Linked DNA regions of Mus musculus. The protein of the gene in region 1 binds, or shares a complex with, the protein of each later gene. Links are inferred from orthologs where the notes say so. Each region holds a gene or a part of one and is shown in the gene's direction. Other genes may lie near its edges.

Region 1 (4,300 bases):
CATCTGTCTATTCATGCTAAACATTGACCGTTTCTCACAACTGTTTCTCAGGAGGACTGCTATCCCAAGCACCCACACAGCCAGGAGAGCCCCAGGTTCAAGATCAGCCTAGCTTCCATGAGACCCTGTCTCAAAAAACAAAAGAAAGTAGGATCCAGAGCAGGATTACAGGTATTGTCCCCTCATAGCCTGCATCTGGGGAGGCTGAAGCTGGTGGGTCCCGAGTGATGAAAAGGCTAGCTTGAGGTCATAGATTTTCTTAAAAAAAAAAAAAAAAAAGAAAAAAGAAAAAAAACATCCCAAGCTGGATTCCGACCAAACAACTAAAGGACAAAGTGGCATGCTATCCTTGTCCTTATTTAGACACTCAACTTGGCAGTCTTGCTGCACCATTTTAGATTGTGATGGATAAGATTCTTATGCCTTTCACACTTATTAAATCATGCATCCTCCATTTTGAGTTCAGGCAGTTGTTTCTGGAGCTGAACTCCATGATACATTTGGCCACCTGTCACCAGTTGAATCAGTCCCTGCAGACAGTCATGATTCCTTGGAGTCTCATACTGTTTATAGATCTGGTAAGCAGTGGGGACCTTTAGCTATTTATGAAAACAGCTCAGAGTCCTCTTAACTCATCTATTTGATGTATATTAACAATATGCAGTAATAAATTAGCTTACAAACTATATGTTGCTGCAAGGTAGTTGTGCTGAGTTTTCTTTCACTGCTGATAAATGCATACCCAAAGCATTCTCTGTAGAGTAACAATGCACCAGGATTTGAAACTAATACCTCGAGACATTGAAGGGGCAGAGAGGGTCCAAAACTAGCCTCTTAACTAGTCAAGGGTGATCCAGCTCTGATGTTTTAAAAGCATAGTAAGACTAGTGTCCTTCCAACCTTCAGTTCTCAAAATGAGATAACTAGGTTAGGAAGACACATGGAGAAAGGAGATTTTGAATACACCCAGGAAACACCGCAATACTAAGTTCTGTCCCCACTGCAGTTTCTCCTTTCCCCTAAATTTAGACTGAGGTGAAGAGCTGGCAACTGACGCAGGACTAAAGGCTTTTTCACCTGGACTCGTGATTTTTAACCATGCGAAGGAATACAGTAAAATGTTCTGTATAGAATTCAGGGGAAAGCGAGCAATGGAAAACGAAAATCATGCAATTGCTCCAACGTCGCACTGGAGCTAGAAGAGCTCGAAACCCTCCCCAAGGAAAGTCCAAGATGGCCGAGCTAAGAACCCGAAGAGGATGCAATAGCCCCGCTCCCAGGCGCCCTCCGCCCGCCGGGGCTAGGGGTGTGGGGGTGTGGGGAAATAAAGCGCTAGGCCACGCCTCCTTACATCACCGACAGACGTCATCTCGCTCTCCAGAAAACGTGCCGCAGGGTGCAGGCCCCGCCCCGCGGAAAGAAGGGCGGCCCTCCCTGGACGTGAAGCACGCTGGGACTCCGGAGTCTCGAGCTTCCCGGCAGCCTCCGCGGCGGGCGTGGTGCGTAAGGAGCTGACCAGCGGTGGCCGTTCTCCGTAAGATGGCGGACCGGCGGCGGCAGCGCGCTTCCCAGGACACGGAGGACGAGGAATCCGGGGCTTCGGGTTCCGACAGCGGCTCTCCGGCGCGGGGCGGCGGCAGCTGCAGCGGGAGCGTCGGAGGCGGCGGCAGTGGCTCGCTGCCTTCTCAGCGCGGCGGCCGCGGCGGGGGCCTTCACCTGCGGCGGGTGGAGAGCGGGGGCGCCAAGAGCGCCGAGGAGTCTGAGTGTGTGAGTGAGCGGCGGGCGGTCCAGGGCGGCGACCCGGCAGGGGGCGGGCTGGAGATGCTGTGAGATGCCGGGCCTCCTCTTAGAGGGAAAGAAAGGTTGTCCCGCTGCGAATCTGCATCCACCCAGAGCCCCGGGGAAGGAGGACTGGGTGGTTTCTGAGCTCAGGGCGTGCAATGTTTACACGGAAACTGGGGCTGGGATGTAGAGAACCGCCATTCTCGATGTGACTTCTGAAGATTTATCTTGCCCCATATTCCTACCCAACCATCTGTGTTGATTCTTCAGTCGTCCCTCACGGTTATCTGCGGGTGGGCTCCCCGCGTCTGGAAATCACCAACTCTAACCTGTGTGATCTTCTTCCTCCCAGGAGAGTGAAGATGGCATGGAAGGAGATGGTGAGTAATTTTACTTTATCTTGAATTCTTGTGGATGTAAATTAAGGCCATGTATATCTTACACTGGGTCTTTCTCGGTTTGTTAGGGGTTTTTGGAGAGCGTTCCCCGGGAGTGGCGTTTGTGTCATGGTGATGATGAGCATGCTTGTTTGGTTTGGTTCCTTTTTGGAAGGTGACAGATTGAGTGCACTGTGGTGACTTAGAATAACACCTGACAACAGCATAGTTTTTCGTCAGTGTGGTCCCAAAGTTCTCCATCTGTCAACAGAAACTATAATTTTATCTGCCCCAGAAAGTTGCTGCGTCCACAAATTAAGTGAGGATGTTTGCCTGGCCCAAAACGAACTGTCAGAAATGTAGTAACAAACGTTTATGTTATTACATATCACATAATTTGTCTTTTCCTTTCAGCTGTTCTTTCCGATTATGAAAGTGCAGAAGATTCAGAAGTGAGTGTGATAGATTCTTTTTCCTTATGGCGTAAGTCAGAAAATGTCTCTTTAAAAAAACCTCTAGCTGTGTGGTACAAAAATTCCCTGACTTGCTTCTCTTATACATTCTTCTCGTGTGCTTTTAAAAGTCTGTTAGAAGTCTGGTGATGGTGGCACATGTCTTTAATTCCAGCCTTGCCCGGTTAATGACTGCAACTTGAAGCCACACCTCTTGAAGGGACAGGTTACACTTAGTTGATTTATTCTCAGTAAAGAAAGTGAGTTTGTGAGTCAGAGAATACGATGCTGAAATCCTTTACAAGGTGTTGGACAGGGTCCTTTATATGTCTGGATTGAGAAGACAGCCACTTGACTGGCTCCTCATGCATGCATGATTTTGAAATCTTGGAAGGACAGAATTCTGAATAGTTTGTGCAAAAACGCATCCTTCGTGGTGGTGCATGCCTTGAATCCCAGCAATTGGGAGGCAGAGGCAGGCAGATTTCCGAGTTCGAGGCCAGCCTGGTCTACAGAGTGAGTCCCAGGACAGCCAGGGCTATACAGAGAAGCCCTGTCTCGAAAAACAAAACAAAACAAACAAACAAACAAACAAACAAAAAAACTGCATCCTTTATTTTATAGCTAGAGTTTTTTGGTATCTGTGGTAATGTTTTCCAAATCAGAAAACATATTGTGAACTTTGTTTTGATTGGATGGTAGCTGTAGATACTGTCAGAATGACATTGTCATGGAGTTAGTTATTTTGTGCAGGATTGGTTGAACAGACTCGTGTTCTGTGTTTTAGAGATAGGTTGCATTCAGGAAGAAGCAGATGGTGGACCAAGGGTTTGGTTTGTGACTGTGCTTGTTGTATTATTTAGGTTGGGATTTCTTTGTTTTTTGATGCTGCAGGGTGAGCCTACAGGTCAATACATGCAAGAAAAGTGTGCTACCGCGGAGTGTTCTGCCTTAGCCCTTATCTTATAAATATTGTGGAATTTTGACTGTCTTGCCTTATTACACTTAAGGAGGTAACAGTAAGCATTATTTCAGAAGTCCTGTTTTAAGAAGTTGCATAAAAGAAGACAATACAGCCGGGCGTGGTGGTGCACGCCTTTAATCCCAGCACTTGGGAGGCAGAGGCAGGTGGATTTCTGAGTTCCAGGCTTGCCTGGTCTGCAGAGTGAGTTCCAGGATAACTAGGGCTACACAGAGAAACCGTGCCTTTAAAAAAAAAAAAGAAAGAAAAAAAAAAACAATACACTAGGCCAAGGAAACAAAAACACGTGGCACAGAAATTAATTTGACAAAATGTAAATTCAAATAAGGGCTGGGGAGATGGCCCAGTTTGGTAAAGAGGGCCTGGGTTCAATCCCCAGAGCCAGTGTGATGGTGTGTGTAATTCCATTGCTGGGGAAAGCAGAAACAGCTATGGAGCTTGCTGGGCGGGCACACAGACTGTCTAGCCTTCCACCAAGAGACTGTCTCAGAGACTACAATGAATACCTTTCCCAAGGAAGAATATCTGATTCTCTGAGTTCCATTGCATGTTTGCACATGTGAGCATTTCTGCATAGTGACACTAATTCAAAATCTAGCATTTAGGAGTGAGGGTCAGGAAGATTATTTCAAATTCATTGCCATCCTGGGAAATGAAACTTTAAAAAATATTTTATGTATATGCATGTTTTACCTGAAAAAAAATGT
Region 2 (4,291 bases), on another chromosome or scaffold:
ACATCTCTGGTAACGATGTGTGTCAATTCTTTTTTTTTGAGACAGGGTTTCTCTGGCTGTCCTGGATCTCACTCGGTAGACCAGGTTGCCCTCGAACTCAGAAATCCGCCTGCCTCTGCCTCCTGAGTGCTGGGATTAAAGGCATGTGCCACCACACCTGTCGTGTGTCAATCTTCTATGACTAGAATTTACCGTATTTCACCTACTTGACCTTAAAATTCCCGCACCAGAAATTTGACCTTTCACAGAGGTCAACTTTGGCTCTTGAAAATGAACCTCTTGGGTAGTGGTCTCCACATTTGACCCACCTCGTTTTTGTTTCAGTTTGTGTGTGTGTATCTTACTTGGTAGTCCTGACTGGCCTGGAACTCACTATGCAAAGAGCAGTCTAGGCTTAAACTCACAGAGGTCTACTCCACTCTGCCTCTGAAGTGCTGGGATCAAAGGCATTGGCCACCATGCCCAGTTCTCACCTGGGTATTTTTTTAGAGGCTTCAGTGAAACTGGATTCTGTCAGCATGTGGCTAGGGCTGAGAATCGCTGCTAAATAAGATGACCAGTAGGAGCCGGGCGGTGGTGGCGCACACCTTTAATCCCAGCACTTGGCAGAGGCAGGTGGATTTCTGAGTTTGAGGCCAGCCTGGTCTACAGAGTCAGTTCCAGGACAGCCGGGGCTACACAGAGAAACCCTGTCTCGAAAAACAAAACAAAACAAGACAAAAAAGCCTAGTAGGGATCCAACATTCATTTAACCGACCCACAACACCTATCTAGACATGTTAGCTTGAAAGGGAAGAATGAAAGGCAACTCGTTCATGAGTGGTGACCCTCGTGAGGATGAGGTAGGAGGGTTTGTGGTTTCAGGTCAGTCTGGATCAGGTAGCAGTACTCTGCCTACACGTAAAATAAAGAAATAGCAGAAAGGGATGTTAGCTAAATGCAGGCAAGTTTCAGGCAACATTGTGGAATGGGAAAGGAGTCATTCTTAAAAGACAGCTAAGTAAAGCCAACTTTATTTTTCGGGACAGGGTCTTAGTATGCAGCCACTGGTCTCAAACTCTCATTACGCTCTTTAGACATTTACTACTAATCTCCCGCCTCAGAGCCACCTCCTGATCTACACACTGGGGAGTGGAAGAAGGCGGGGGATGGGGGTGGCAGCGTACTCATAGATGAGCAAATCATTTTGCCTCCTTTTACTGTGGAAACCCATCTAGGTTCAGAGTGTGAATAACCTCGTTCGACTCACTTGTCTCTTTAAATTGAGGTTGCGCCTGACAGGACTCTAGCGCTCAGTGTTGGGCTGAAACCCAGATGCAGTTCTCGGATCCCAAGATCTTCCAGAACTCTCGATATACAACCAAGGGGGCGTGGCGATCTTGACCCAGCGTCTAGGGGAGGGGGCGTGGTAATCTCGTTCCCGCCTCCGGAGAGTGAGAAACTCTTAGTGTCGCGGTGGCAGACGTCATTTCCGCGCGCCACCATTACGCCAGTATAAGACGTAGACCGCAGGCCGTGGTAGTGTCATCCGTTCCTAAAGTTCCGTCCTCCTTGTCCCTTGCGAGGCATGGAGAGTGACTTTTACCTGCGTTACTACGTGGGCCACAAAGGCAAGTTCGGTCATGAGTTCCTGGAGTTTGAATTCCGACCTGACGGTAAGAGCGGCCTCCCGGCTGCGGGCAGTGGGACCGGCCCCGGGGAGGGCGGAGAGAAGGCGGGCTGCGGAATGTGGCGAAGCGAAGCAAGGGACGCCGACCACCGTGCTGTTGGGTCGTGAAAGAGGCATTCTTTTGTCGGCTTCATTGGTTCTTTCTCTTCATCCGCTGGCGATTCTCCTTCGTAGCTTTTTAAAAAGCCAGGTTGCTTACATTCAACAAAGATTTAATGTCCATCTGAGAATGGGCTGTTTGTTTTCCAGTCTGGGGACAGAGCAACAAAAATAAATTTTCCCCTCTCGTGGAACATGTGTTTCAGAGCCGGAAGAAACCACAGCGATCTCTTGTAGTGTGGAGTGATCAAAAAGTAAGGTCGCTTTTAAAGAGCAGTCTGAGGAGTGTGAATTTGAATTAAGCCGTAATTGAAAAGGGATCAATTTTTGAAGTACAGGAAGAAAAGCATCTACAGGAGTAGCAAGTGTCATAGGACCTCAAAGAGCCAGACATATCCAGGTGGTCACTGGGGTGACTGAGAGACAGTAGTAGGGGGTGATGTTAGTCAAGAGCCTCGCTATACAGGTGTTTGTAGTGCTTGCTTGCATACAGCTTCCTTAGTTTTCAAAGTCCTTTCCCAACCCAGTTGAACATCAGCATGTTCTTCTCTGTGCAGCTAAGATAGCATTAAAATTCCTGTTTACAGCTGAGAACGTGTTCTTTTGCTACATCATGGCAGCCTTTTCCCGGGACTCTAGTTTACTGTCAGGTCCTTCTTCTGTTGTTCAGTAGTTTCAAGTGAAGTACCAAAAACACTACTATCACAGCTGGGAAATGGGTTGAAACATTCGATATAATTTAGGCAAAGCTCATATTCTTTGGAGGGTAATGGTGCTTTGTTCATGTTTTCTAATACGTTGCATTCTTTTTTTTTTTTCTTTTTTCTTCCGAAGGTAAATTGCGATACGCCAACAACAGCAATTACAAAAATGACGTCATGATCAGGAAAGAGGTACAGACCTTTCCTTCACTACGACTTAGCCTTTGGTTTCCCATTGCTTATGTTCTCTCTGGTAATGAAAGATGAAGTGTAGGAAGCGAGCACTTATTTCTAAGCAGCTAGATTATTTCTCTGATTCACTCCCCCCCCCCCCCCAGTGCTGAATCAAAAGCTAGTAAGTGTTTGAAATCTGTGTGTCTTGGTTTGTACCCTCGGTGTGCCCCATACTGACCATGTGACCTCAAAACAAGTTCTCTGGCTGAACTTGGTCTCTGTGTTTTCATCTGTAAAACAAAGGATAAGAAAACCTACCTGTGACTCCCAAATGTTATCATAGAATTAAATATATTAGTCCCTAGTACATAGACTATGAAGACAGCATTGACTTTGCTTCTGAAGAGGAAACGGATCAGGGGAAAGTCTCAACCTCGAATTACGCTCTTTAGAGCTAAACCATAGACATTTACTACTACTCTCCCACCTCAGAGCCCCCTCCTGATCCACACACTGGGGAGTGGAAGAAGGCGGGGGATGGGGGTGGCAGCGTACTCATAGATGAGCAAATCATTTTGCCTCCTTTTACTGTGGAAACCCATCTAGGTTCAGAGTGTGAATAACCTCGTTCAAACAATATGTTGTTTAATCCTGATTATAAAAAGCCCATGTGACAAAGTATTCTGCCATACTTTCAATCAGGAAAATCATGGCCTAGATATTAAATCTGAGGATAGTTACTCTTGCTTGTAAGAGATAATGATAGGCATTTGGGCATATCTGAATCTCAGTAAAGGTCATGTGTTCCATTCTGCTGGGATTTCTACTATATCATTAAGGATATGACAGTATGTCTTCATACAATTTAGCAGTTAATTTTATGCCGAATCAGCATCATATCTTTTTCTCTTTGTTTGGTTTGGGTTGTTTGTTTGCATGACCTAGTGCTCCTCAGAAGCAGTTGGTAGAGTGCTTGTCTTCATGAGGCCCTGGGCTTCATCCTTAGCATCACAGAAACTGATCATGGTAGCCATGTTTATATGTCAGCACTGGGGAGGTGAAAGCAAGAAGCTCAGAAGTTTAAGATCACCAAGGCCAGGCTGCGAGGCATGAAACCTTGTCTGTAAGCAGCAGGGTGTATCAGTTGTCTGTTACCACTATAACAATATATCTGACAGAGGCTATTGCCGGATTATTGTCAGGAATGATACAGACCTGCAATTCCATGACTTTGTAGTTGAAGGCATGGGGATTAGAAATTCAAGTTGGACTCAGTAATGGTGGTGGTGATGGTATAAGACTTTTATCACTCGGGAGGCAGAATGAGACGAATCTCTGAGTTTGACGACAGCCTGATATACAGAGCAAGTTCCAGGTCTGTACAGAGAAACTCTGCCTGAAAAAGCCTTTTTAAAAGAAATAATTAGTTCATAGCAAGTTTGAAGCCAGTGAGGCTCAGTGAAATTCTCAAAAATAAAGAAGAGATTATTTAGCTCATCACTCCAGAGGTTCAAAATCCAAACACCGCTGCAGTAGTGAGAATGGGTGTGTGGCCACGCAGTGACCTCTCTCACCAGGAGAGAAACACACAGACATTGGAGGCCCACAATTCCTCTGCTGATATGCTGCAATGATCTAAGAACCCACC
Region 3 (3,561 bases), on another chromosome or scaffold:
TCAGTCAGCAGTGAGAGCCGGGCCACTAATGCAGATGCCGCCGTGTCCTGGACTTGTATGGAATTAAATTATTTGTCATGGCGCACACAACCTGCAGTAACACTCAGGAGGCTGAGATAGGAGGATGGGTAGCTTCAAGATCAGCCTAGACTACATAGCAAGACCTTCTCAAAAAAATGAACTACTGGGCTGGAAAGATGGCTCAGTGGTTAAGAGCACTGACTGCTCTTACTGAGGTCCTGTGTTCAAATCCCAGCAACCACATGGTGGCTCACAACCATCCGTATTGGGATCCAATACCTTCTTCTGGTGTGTCTGAAGACAGCTATAGTGTACTCATATATATAAAATAAGTAAAATAAGTAAATCTTTTAAAAAAAAACCTCTTATTTAAAAAAAAAAAGGAGCTGCTTTATATGGAGTAGAGGGAGGAGGGTCATATGTTTCAAATATTCTGGTGTCTCCAGCTAGATGAATGACCGCTGTCTTTTTTTTCCTTTTAAAGATTTATTTTTATTATTTTCAGAAATATTATTTATTTCTATTATTTTGTGTGTGTGTGTGTGTGTATCTGTCTGTCTGTCTTGGGTGTGCCTATTTGTGCATGTGCCCAAGGAGGCCAACGGTGTCAGATCCTCCTGTAGCTGGAGTTACAGGCGGCAGTGAGCCACCTGATATGGGCTCTGGGAACCAAATTTGGGTTTTCTGCAAAAGAAATAGACTCTTGACTTATGAGACAGCCCTCCAGCCCTGACTTCTGGTTTTTCTTATTTTCTAAAACAACTCCTACTTTTTCCTCAGCTGTAAAAGTGCACCCTCAATAAGATGGCCAACTTAGAACCACAGTGTTTCCGTATTTGCAATCATAGGATGTGTGAAGGTTTGGCCTCACCGTTGTTTTCTGTTCCGTTCTATTTTGTCTTGTCTTGTTTTTCAGACAGGCTCTCGGAGCCCTGGGCACTTCTCACATCATTAGGCAAAGCACTCTATCAACTGAAAGGTGTCTCCAGCCCTCTTGTTTATTTTTCACACAGGCTCGATGACGAGGGTGTCAGAGATTACAGAGACAGGGACCGGGACTATGAGAGAGATCAGGAGCGCATGATCCGAGAAAGAGAGAGGCTGAAGCGGCAAGAAGAAGAGCGCCGGCGGCAGCAGCAGAAAGAACGCTATGAGAAAGAGAAGGCTTTTAAGCGAAAGGAAGAAGAAATGAAGAGAGAGAAAGAGGCACTTCGAGATAAAGGAAAGAAGAGTGAGAATACAGAATCAATATGCTCATTAGAAAAAATTGAAAAAAAAGAGGAAGTGGTTAAGAGAGACCGCATAAGGAACAAGGTGCTGCTGTTTTTTTATTAAACTTGGTTGTTTTTATGAGGATTCCCCCCCTATTCTTAGAAGGATAAATTTAAAGGAATGTGCCCTATCCCCACCCCCACTAGGTATTGAATCATTGCAAGCTTTCTGCCAGTGAACTTCATCCCCAGTCCCTATTGTGGAATTTTCATTTTCTTTTTTTCTAATTTATGTATTTATTTTTTGCATGTGTGCACATGAGTGTGCACACGTGCATACATGTCCAGTGCATGAATAGTGGTGAGAGGACAGTTTGTGGGAGCCATTTTCTCCTTCCACCAGGTGGGTTCTAGAGATTGAACCCAGGTTGTCAAGCTTGGCAGCAAGTCCTCTTACCCAATGAACCATCTCATCAGCCCAATGGTAATTTCTTTCTTTGTTTCTTTTCTTTTTTGTTTTTCTTTTTCTGTTCTCTTTCTTTCTCTCTCTCTTTTTTTGTTTTTGTTTTTTTTTTTCAAGACAGGGTTTCTCTTTGTAGCCCTGGCTGTCCTGGAACTCATTTTGTAGACCAGGTTGACCTTGAACTCACAGAGTTCCGCCTGCCTCTGCCTCCTGAATGCTGAGATTAGCAGCATGCCCCACCCTGCCCAGCTTCAAAGGTAATTTCTTACTATCCTAATTATTCCTAGTGAGAGTTTCCCAGTTGCATCATTAATGTCTTTTTAAATAAGGGCCATGAACAATGTTCATAGTGTGTGGTTGAATTCTATTTTGATCTAAACAATCTTTTTTTTCCCTGATACATAATTGTTTGTTGTAGAAACCAGTTTGTCCTATGAATCTTCTCAGACTGTACATTGGCAAATTATAACTTCTTTATCTCATTGAACATATATATTCTGTTTCTTTTATAATTACTACTTAAGCACTAGTACTGTCATAGACAACAGCATAAATGGAACCATAGGTTCAAAACACAGCATTAAAAATTTATAATTAAACAATTTTTAAATGAAAATAATAGTCAAATCTTGGAAAAACAGCTGCTAATATTTTAGGCTATCTGAGCCATATAGTCTCTGTCACAACAGCTAAATTCTTTAAGGAAATAGACATGGGTAATATATAAAAATGAGCTTGGGGTTGAGTGTGTTTCTCAGTAGTTAAAAGTGCTGGCCTAGCTTGCATGGCAGGACACAGCTTTTATCCTAGCACTTGGGAGGCAGATGGAGGAGGATCTCTGGAGGACAGCCTGGTCTATTTACTTGAATCCAAGGACAGTCGGGGCTATGTAAAGAGACCCTGTATCAATAACAACACTTGGGGCTGGAGAGATGGCTTAGCAGTTAAGGGGTGAATATTTTTTATTTTTTCAATTGCTAGTACCCATGTCAGGCAGCTCACAGACATATATAACTCCAGTCACTGTGGGCAACTGCATGTACTTATAGATACACATGCATACTACTTCCCCACACAGTTAAAAAAATAATAAGGAAAAATAAATCTTTTTTTTTTTTAAGGCTAGGCATGGTGTATACCTGTAATCCCAGAACGCAGGGGCAGAAGCAGGTGGGTTTCTGTAAGGCAAGCAGATCTTTTCTTTTTTGCTAGGGATCAAACCCAAATCTAGTTAGGCAAGAATTCTACCACTGAGCTAAATCAAGCCAAACTTAAACATATTTTTGTGTAGTTTTAGATTTTTATAATGAATTTATTGCATGGGACATGGTGGCCCATGTCTGAAGGAGGATTTCAAGTTGGAGGTCAGCCTAGGCTACTTTAGGCCCTGTTCTCCCTCTCCCACCACAAAAGGCGATTTACTGGTAGAGAATCACAGGCATGTAGTTGTAGTTTCTCCAGTGACTTACACCCCCCCAGGCCAGTTGTCTAACCCCTGGCTTTGAATGTATTAAACACTCTGTTACTGAGCTACAGCTTGGCCCTTGGTTCTTGTAGTTTCTAAGTTTAAAAAAATTAGGGGTAATTAATTCTTATTACCTAATACCTATAAATTAGGTTATCTTGAGGTAGTTTTAAAATTAGGCGAATACATTATATGCATGTACAAAATTCTCAAAGAATTAATAAAATATTATTTTAAAATTTAGAGGGGCTGGAGAGATGGCTCAGCGGTAAAGAGCAATGACTGCTCTTCCGAAGGTCCTGAGTTCAAATCCCAGCAACCACATGGTGGCTCACAACCATCTGAAATGAGATCTGACGCCTTCTTCTGGTGTGTCTGAAGACAGCTACAGTGTACTTACA
Region 4 (4,286 bases), on another chromosome or scaffold:
TTAATTTTCTCAGGTCTGTGTTTGGCAGTTGATCACTGTGTATCTAGTTAGTTAATGATCAAACAGGTTGAGAGATAATGACTTGTCCAAGGTTACGTGGGACCAGTACTGAGACTGGACTCTTTTTCTTAGGATTGTGACAGAAGGCCATCAGTCACCGATAGGATTACTCAGTGGTGCTAAAAGAAAGGTGATCAGGAATTGGAACGAGGGAACTGGGTGCAGTTCACTGTCATTTTGTGCTCTTCAAGACTACACTTGGATGTTCCGTATTTTTCCAACTCAAACTGTTGAGAACTGTGACCTAGCCCTGCAAATATATAGGGTACTAACCATTAACCCTTAGTGACTCATGAGTTGTAGTATACTATGAAAAACTCTTCTATGATGACTATCTGGACTTTTCAGTTTCATGTGCTATTTAAACATCAAACTCCCACCAGACAGATTCATTTTACTCTGTGTCTCCGTCTGGGCTGTTAGCTACTGGAAATTTTGAAGTATTACCAAAAGGGACTCTGGTAGATTGTGTTCTGGTTGCCACCGGAATGTATCTTTTCTCAGTTCACCAGTTTCAGGAAGTAGAGTCACACCCCACTTTACAATGTGCTTCGAGATCAGAGATACCCACAATAAGTACAGCTTGTAAACCTTAGTTCAAAACTCAGAAAAAGACACACCTATAGCATAGGGCAACTCGAAAGTAAAAGTGGTTTTACATCTGTTCCTTCCAAGCCCATTTAAACAAACGAGAAGAAAACAAAGAAACAAAATCCCTAGCTATTTCTTTGCTAAGATAAAATATACAGGAAAACGGACAAATCTGGCAATTATTATAGTGAGGTAATGATGAAGTATTAAGACAAATCTTGTATAGAATTTTAGCTTTTGTATGAGTGTATTTATGTGCTAGTGAGTGTAGGTTATTAAACCAGAGAGGATACTGAGTGTAGGTTAAAGAAATAGAGTGGGAAGTGTAACAGGATACATTTAACAAGAAAGTGCAGCGGGAATAATTTGGGCCCAAGGGTTGGGGGCAGTAGATGAGGAAGAGGTGGAGTGTGGCTCAACCAAAATATAGAATGCCAAAATGAAATCCGGGACTTTGTATCCACCAACGCGCTCATGCAAGCCACCCTTATTAAACTCGGTGAGCCTCCCCTCAACCCAGACAAAAACAAGGCGTAAACGTACAGGAGGGCTTATTGGTAAGACTGGTTCAGCGGAGAAGGGATGAGAGAAGATAACATGGTGGGAGCGACTAAAATTCATCATGTACGTGTATAACATCGTCACAGAGTTAAAACGTAAAAATCGAAGACATGAAAATCTTTTCCAAAAAAAGAAAAAAAAAAAAAAAAAAGCGCTCGAGATCGTGGTGGCTCCAATGCGAACCTTCAGTTCTCTTGGGGGTCTCTTGCTTCCTCTTCAGTTTTCCGGGATTTCGTTCCCTACCGGAGTAAACGCGCCCTTGGTGACGCGCTTTGCCTGCGCCCGTGACGTCACTACCTCGCGCCGGCGGCACGTTGGCCCCGCGGTATAGCGGGCTTTACCGAGGGTAAAAATGTCTATGGGTAGTGATTTCTACCTTCGCTACTACGTCGGGCATAAGGGCAAGTTTGGGCACGAGTTTTTGGAGTTCGAGTTTCGGCCGGACGGTGAGCGGCGGAGGGGCTGCGAGGGAGGGCGAGCCGCCCAGGGAGCGGGTTTCAGCGTGTGTGTGTGTGTGTGTGTGTGTGTGTGTGTGTGTGTGTGTGTGTGTGTGTTTCCTTTCTTCTTTATTTCAATTTACTTGTTTAGTTTTGAGAAAGGGCCTTGTTGTGTAGTCCAAGCCGCCCTCGAACTCACGATCCTCCTGCTTCAGCCTCTGGGATGCTGGGATGACAGGCGTGTCACCATGCCCCAGACTCCCAGAAGGGCTTGAAGGGTTTCATTCCAACATTGGAAGACTTTGCTTTTGTAGCAGGCTTGTGCTGTATTTGTGAGAGCAGACATGGGTTATGTTTGTGAGAGGGAAAAAAATGCTGTAAAGTAATTCAGAAAAGCGAATTCTGCCACTCCTGAAAAGTTGAACATATAGGAATCGGAAACTTAGAGCAGAGAACCTGTGCTCCGGGAGTGTTAACAGAATTATCAAGTGATACTCCAGAGGATGCATGGAATCTTTAGGTGACCTCTTTGGCCTACTCGTTCATTCATGGTATGTGTTAAAGCTGCTTTATAGGGGAGGAGCCCCGTGTCTGAACACAGGAATGTGGTATGTGTCAGGTTTGAAATACAGTTCTTCACTAGTGGATGATGGCCAAAGGTAAGGGAGTCAGTGGAAATGCTCCTAGAAGCTCTTTTTGTGCCACCTCCTAGGCAGTCGGCCAGCCTTGTCTAAATGAGTCTGAAAATCTCCTTCCTAGCCACCAGCTGTCAGAACTCTTTCAAGGGGACAATCAATACAAACTTCATACTTTCAGCAAGAAGCAAATGGCCACAGGGGTAGCCGCTGATGCTCTGGGTGAAGAGGGGAAGTGTTGTGTGGTCCCAGTCACAACCAAGGACTGGGGGAATGACAAACAAGCTTTTCCCACAAAACAAGGCTTCTTGACCCAGAGCAGAGTGTACCTGCTGTTGAGTAAGGGGCATACTTCTATAGACCAAGGAGAGCTGGAGAGAGGAATTGCAGGTCTGTTCTTGATATATTATGAATGCCAATCTGAGTGCTTTCAAATTGGTTATTGTAAAAAAATATTGATACTGCTGGACTGAGCCCCTGTCCCTCTGTTTTTGGTCCCAACAAGCTAGCAGAATCTTAAAGCATTTTAGTAACTCTAAAGAAGACGATGTCTGCTAATGAACTATTGAAAAGCCCTGCAACAGTGGCTGTAAGAAATCCAGGAGGAAAGCACCCAAGGTTCAGCATCTACTTACGTCACTTGTCCTTCAACAACACCATCTCCAATGTATTGTTCTCAAGAAGCAACACACTAAGAAAAACAAGGTAGCTACAGAATAAGCTTAACTTTTGGCCTAGAGAATGAAGCTTAAAAAAAAAAAATACCAGGAACAGATTTCCAAGAGACATAGACTGTCCTCAATGAGAGCTTCTACTTTTAAGTCTGAGTCCAGTAAACAGTAAGTGTTTAAGACAAAGAAGTAAATGATCAGACCTTGAAAAACAAAACAAAAAAAGTTTTCCCTGAGTCTTTTTATTGGGGTGGGGGTGGGGGGTTGAGACAGGGTTTCTCTGCAGCCCTGGCTGTCCTGGAACTCACTCTGTAGACCAGGCTGGCCTCGAACTCAGAAATCTGCCTGCCTCGGCCTCCCGAGTGCTGGGATTAAAGGCGTGTGCTACCACGCCCAGCTTCCCTGAGTCTTTAATCCTAGTACTCTGGGGGCAGATGGAGTTTCAGAAAAGCCAGAGCTACACAGTCAAACCCTGTCCCCTCACAAAGTTCCCCATGCAAAAAAGAATCTGCCCCTAGAAGATGAGACACTTGATTGAGATAAAACTGAGAAACCTTCTTGGTTTCTGGGTGAGAGAAAAACCAGAGGAGAGCAGAATGATCAGGGGTTTGTTGGAGCCTCTCCCTGTGTAGTGTAAGGCAATTCTGTCTTGGGACAGCTCTGCCTACCTGCACCAAGAATTTTTATTTTTGAATGTTCATTATGTAGTGGGCAGTATATAAATGTCAAAGCTGAAGGTACTTGGGAGACAAACATTTAACCTACTATAGGACAGTATGGGTTTTACTTAAGTGCTTTATGCATGACTTGCACGAGGTTCTTTGATAGGTAAGGAGAGGATCATGGATTCCAAAAGTTTCAAGCATTTAGGAAGAAGTCAGCATAGCAGTCAGTGTTCCTGCTGTTATTTAGAACTTAATAACTTCACCCTTGTTTCCCAAATTTTGTTGTTGTGGCAGTGGTCTTCTAGTTTTCTCTTTTCTTTTCTTTTCTTTTCTTTTCTTTTCTTTTCTTTTCTTTTCTTTTCTTTCTTTCTTTCTTTCTTTCTTTCTTTTTTTTTTTTTAAGATTTATTTATTTGTTATATATACAGCATTCCACTGGCATGTATACCTGCAGGCCAGAAGAGGGCACTAGATCTCGTTATGGATGGCCATGAGCCACCGTGTGGTTGCTGGGCATTGAATGCAGGATCTCTGGAAGAGTACTGTTCTCTTGACCTCTGAGCCATCTCTCCAGCCCTAGTTTTATTTATTTTTATAAAAAATTAATTGCTTTTTAAAAATTTTATTCCTCTTGTAATTCTGTTCTTGTTCCTCTTGCATTTGAATA

The links.
Region 2: Casc3 (region 1) and Magoh share a complex: the UniProt entries of both Homo sapiens proteins name them as parts of the mRNA splicing-dependent exon junction complex. The link is inferred for Mus musculus from reciprocal best matches to the Homo sapiens genes CASC3 and MAGOH.
Region 3: Casc3 (region 1) and Upf3b share a complex: the UniProt entries of both Homo sapiens proteins name them as parts of the mRNA splicing-dependent exon junction complex. The link is inferred for Mus musculus from reciprocal best matches to the Homo sapiens genes CASC3 and UPF3B.
Region 4: Casc3 (region 1) and Magohb share a complex: the UniProt entries of both Homo sapiens proteins name them as parts of the mRNA splicing-dependent exon junction complex. The link is inferred for Mus musculus from reciprocal best matches to the Homo sapiens genes CASC3 and MAGOHB.

Annotation. Positions count from the first base shown.
Region 1 is NC_000077.6:98,808,325-98,812,624, forward strand, and holds the start of Casc3 (protein CASC3), read left to right. Parts: upstream 1-1,483; 5' UTR 1,484-1,539; coding exon 1,540-1,767; intron 1,768-2,134; coding exon 2,135-2,162; intron 2,163-2,573; coding exon 2,574-2,611; intron 2,612-4,300. UniProt on the Homo sapiens protein: Required for pre-mRNA splicing as component of the spliceosome. Core component of the splicing-dependent multiprotein exon junction complex (EJC) deposited at splice junctions on mRNAs.
Region 2 is NC_000070.6:107,878,291-107,882,581, forward strand, and holds the start of Magoh (protein mago nashi homolog), read left to right. Parts: upstream 1-1,464; 5' UTR 1,465-1,567; coding exon 1,568-1,655; intron 1,656-2,602; coding exon 2,603-2,661; intron 2,662-4,291. UniProt on the Homo sapiens protein: Required for pre-mRNA splicing as component of the spliceosome. Plays a redundant role with MAGOHB as core component of the exon junction complex (EJC) and in the nonsense-mediated decay (NMD) pathway.
Region 3 is NC_000086.7:37,093,296-37,096,856, reverse strand, and holds part of Upf3b (regulator of nonsense transcripts 3B), read left to right. Parts: intron 1-1,034; coding exon 1,035-1,335; exon of another isoform or gene 1,336-3,561. UniProt on the Homo sapiens protein: Involved in nonsense-mediated decay (NMD) of mRNAs containing premature stop codons by associating with the nuclear exon junction complex (EJC) and serving as link between the EJC core and NMD machinery.
Region 4 is NC_000072.6:131,290,444-131,294,729, reverse strand, and holds the start of Magohb (protein mago nashi homolog 2), read left to right. Parts: upstream 1-1,485; 5' UTR 1,486-1,564; coding exon 1,565-1,658; intron 1,659-2,789; exon of another isoform or gene 2,790-2,989; intron 2,990-4,286. UniProt on the Homo sapiens protein: Required for pre-mRNA splicing as component of the spliceosome. Plays a redundant role with MAGOH in the exon junction complex and in the nonsense-mediated decay (NMD) pathway.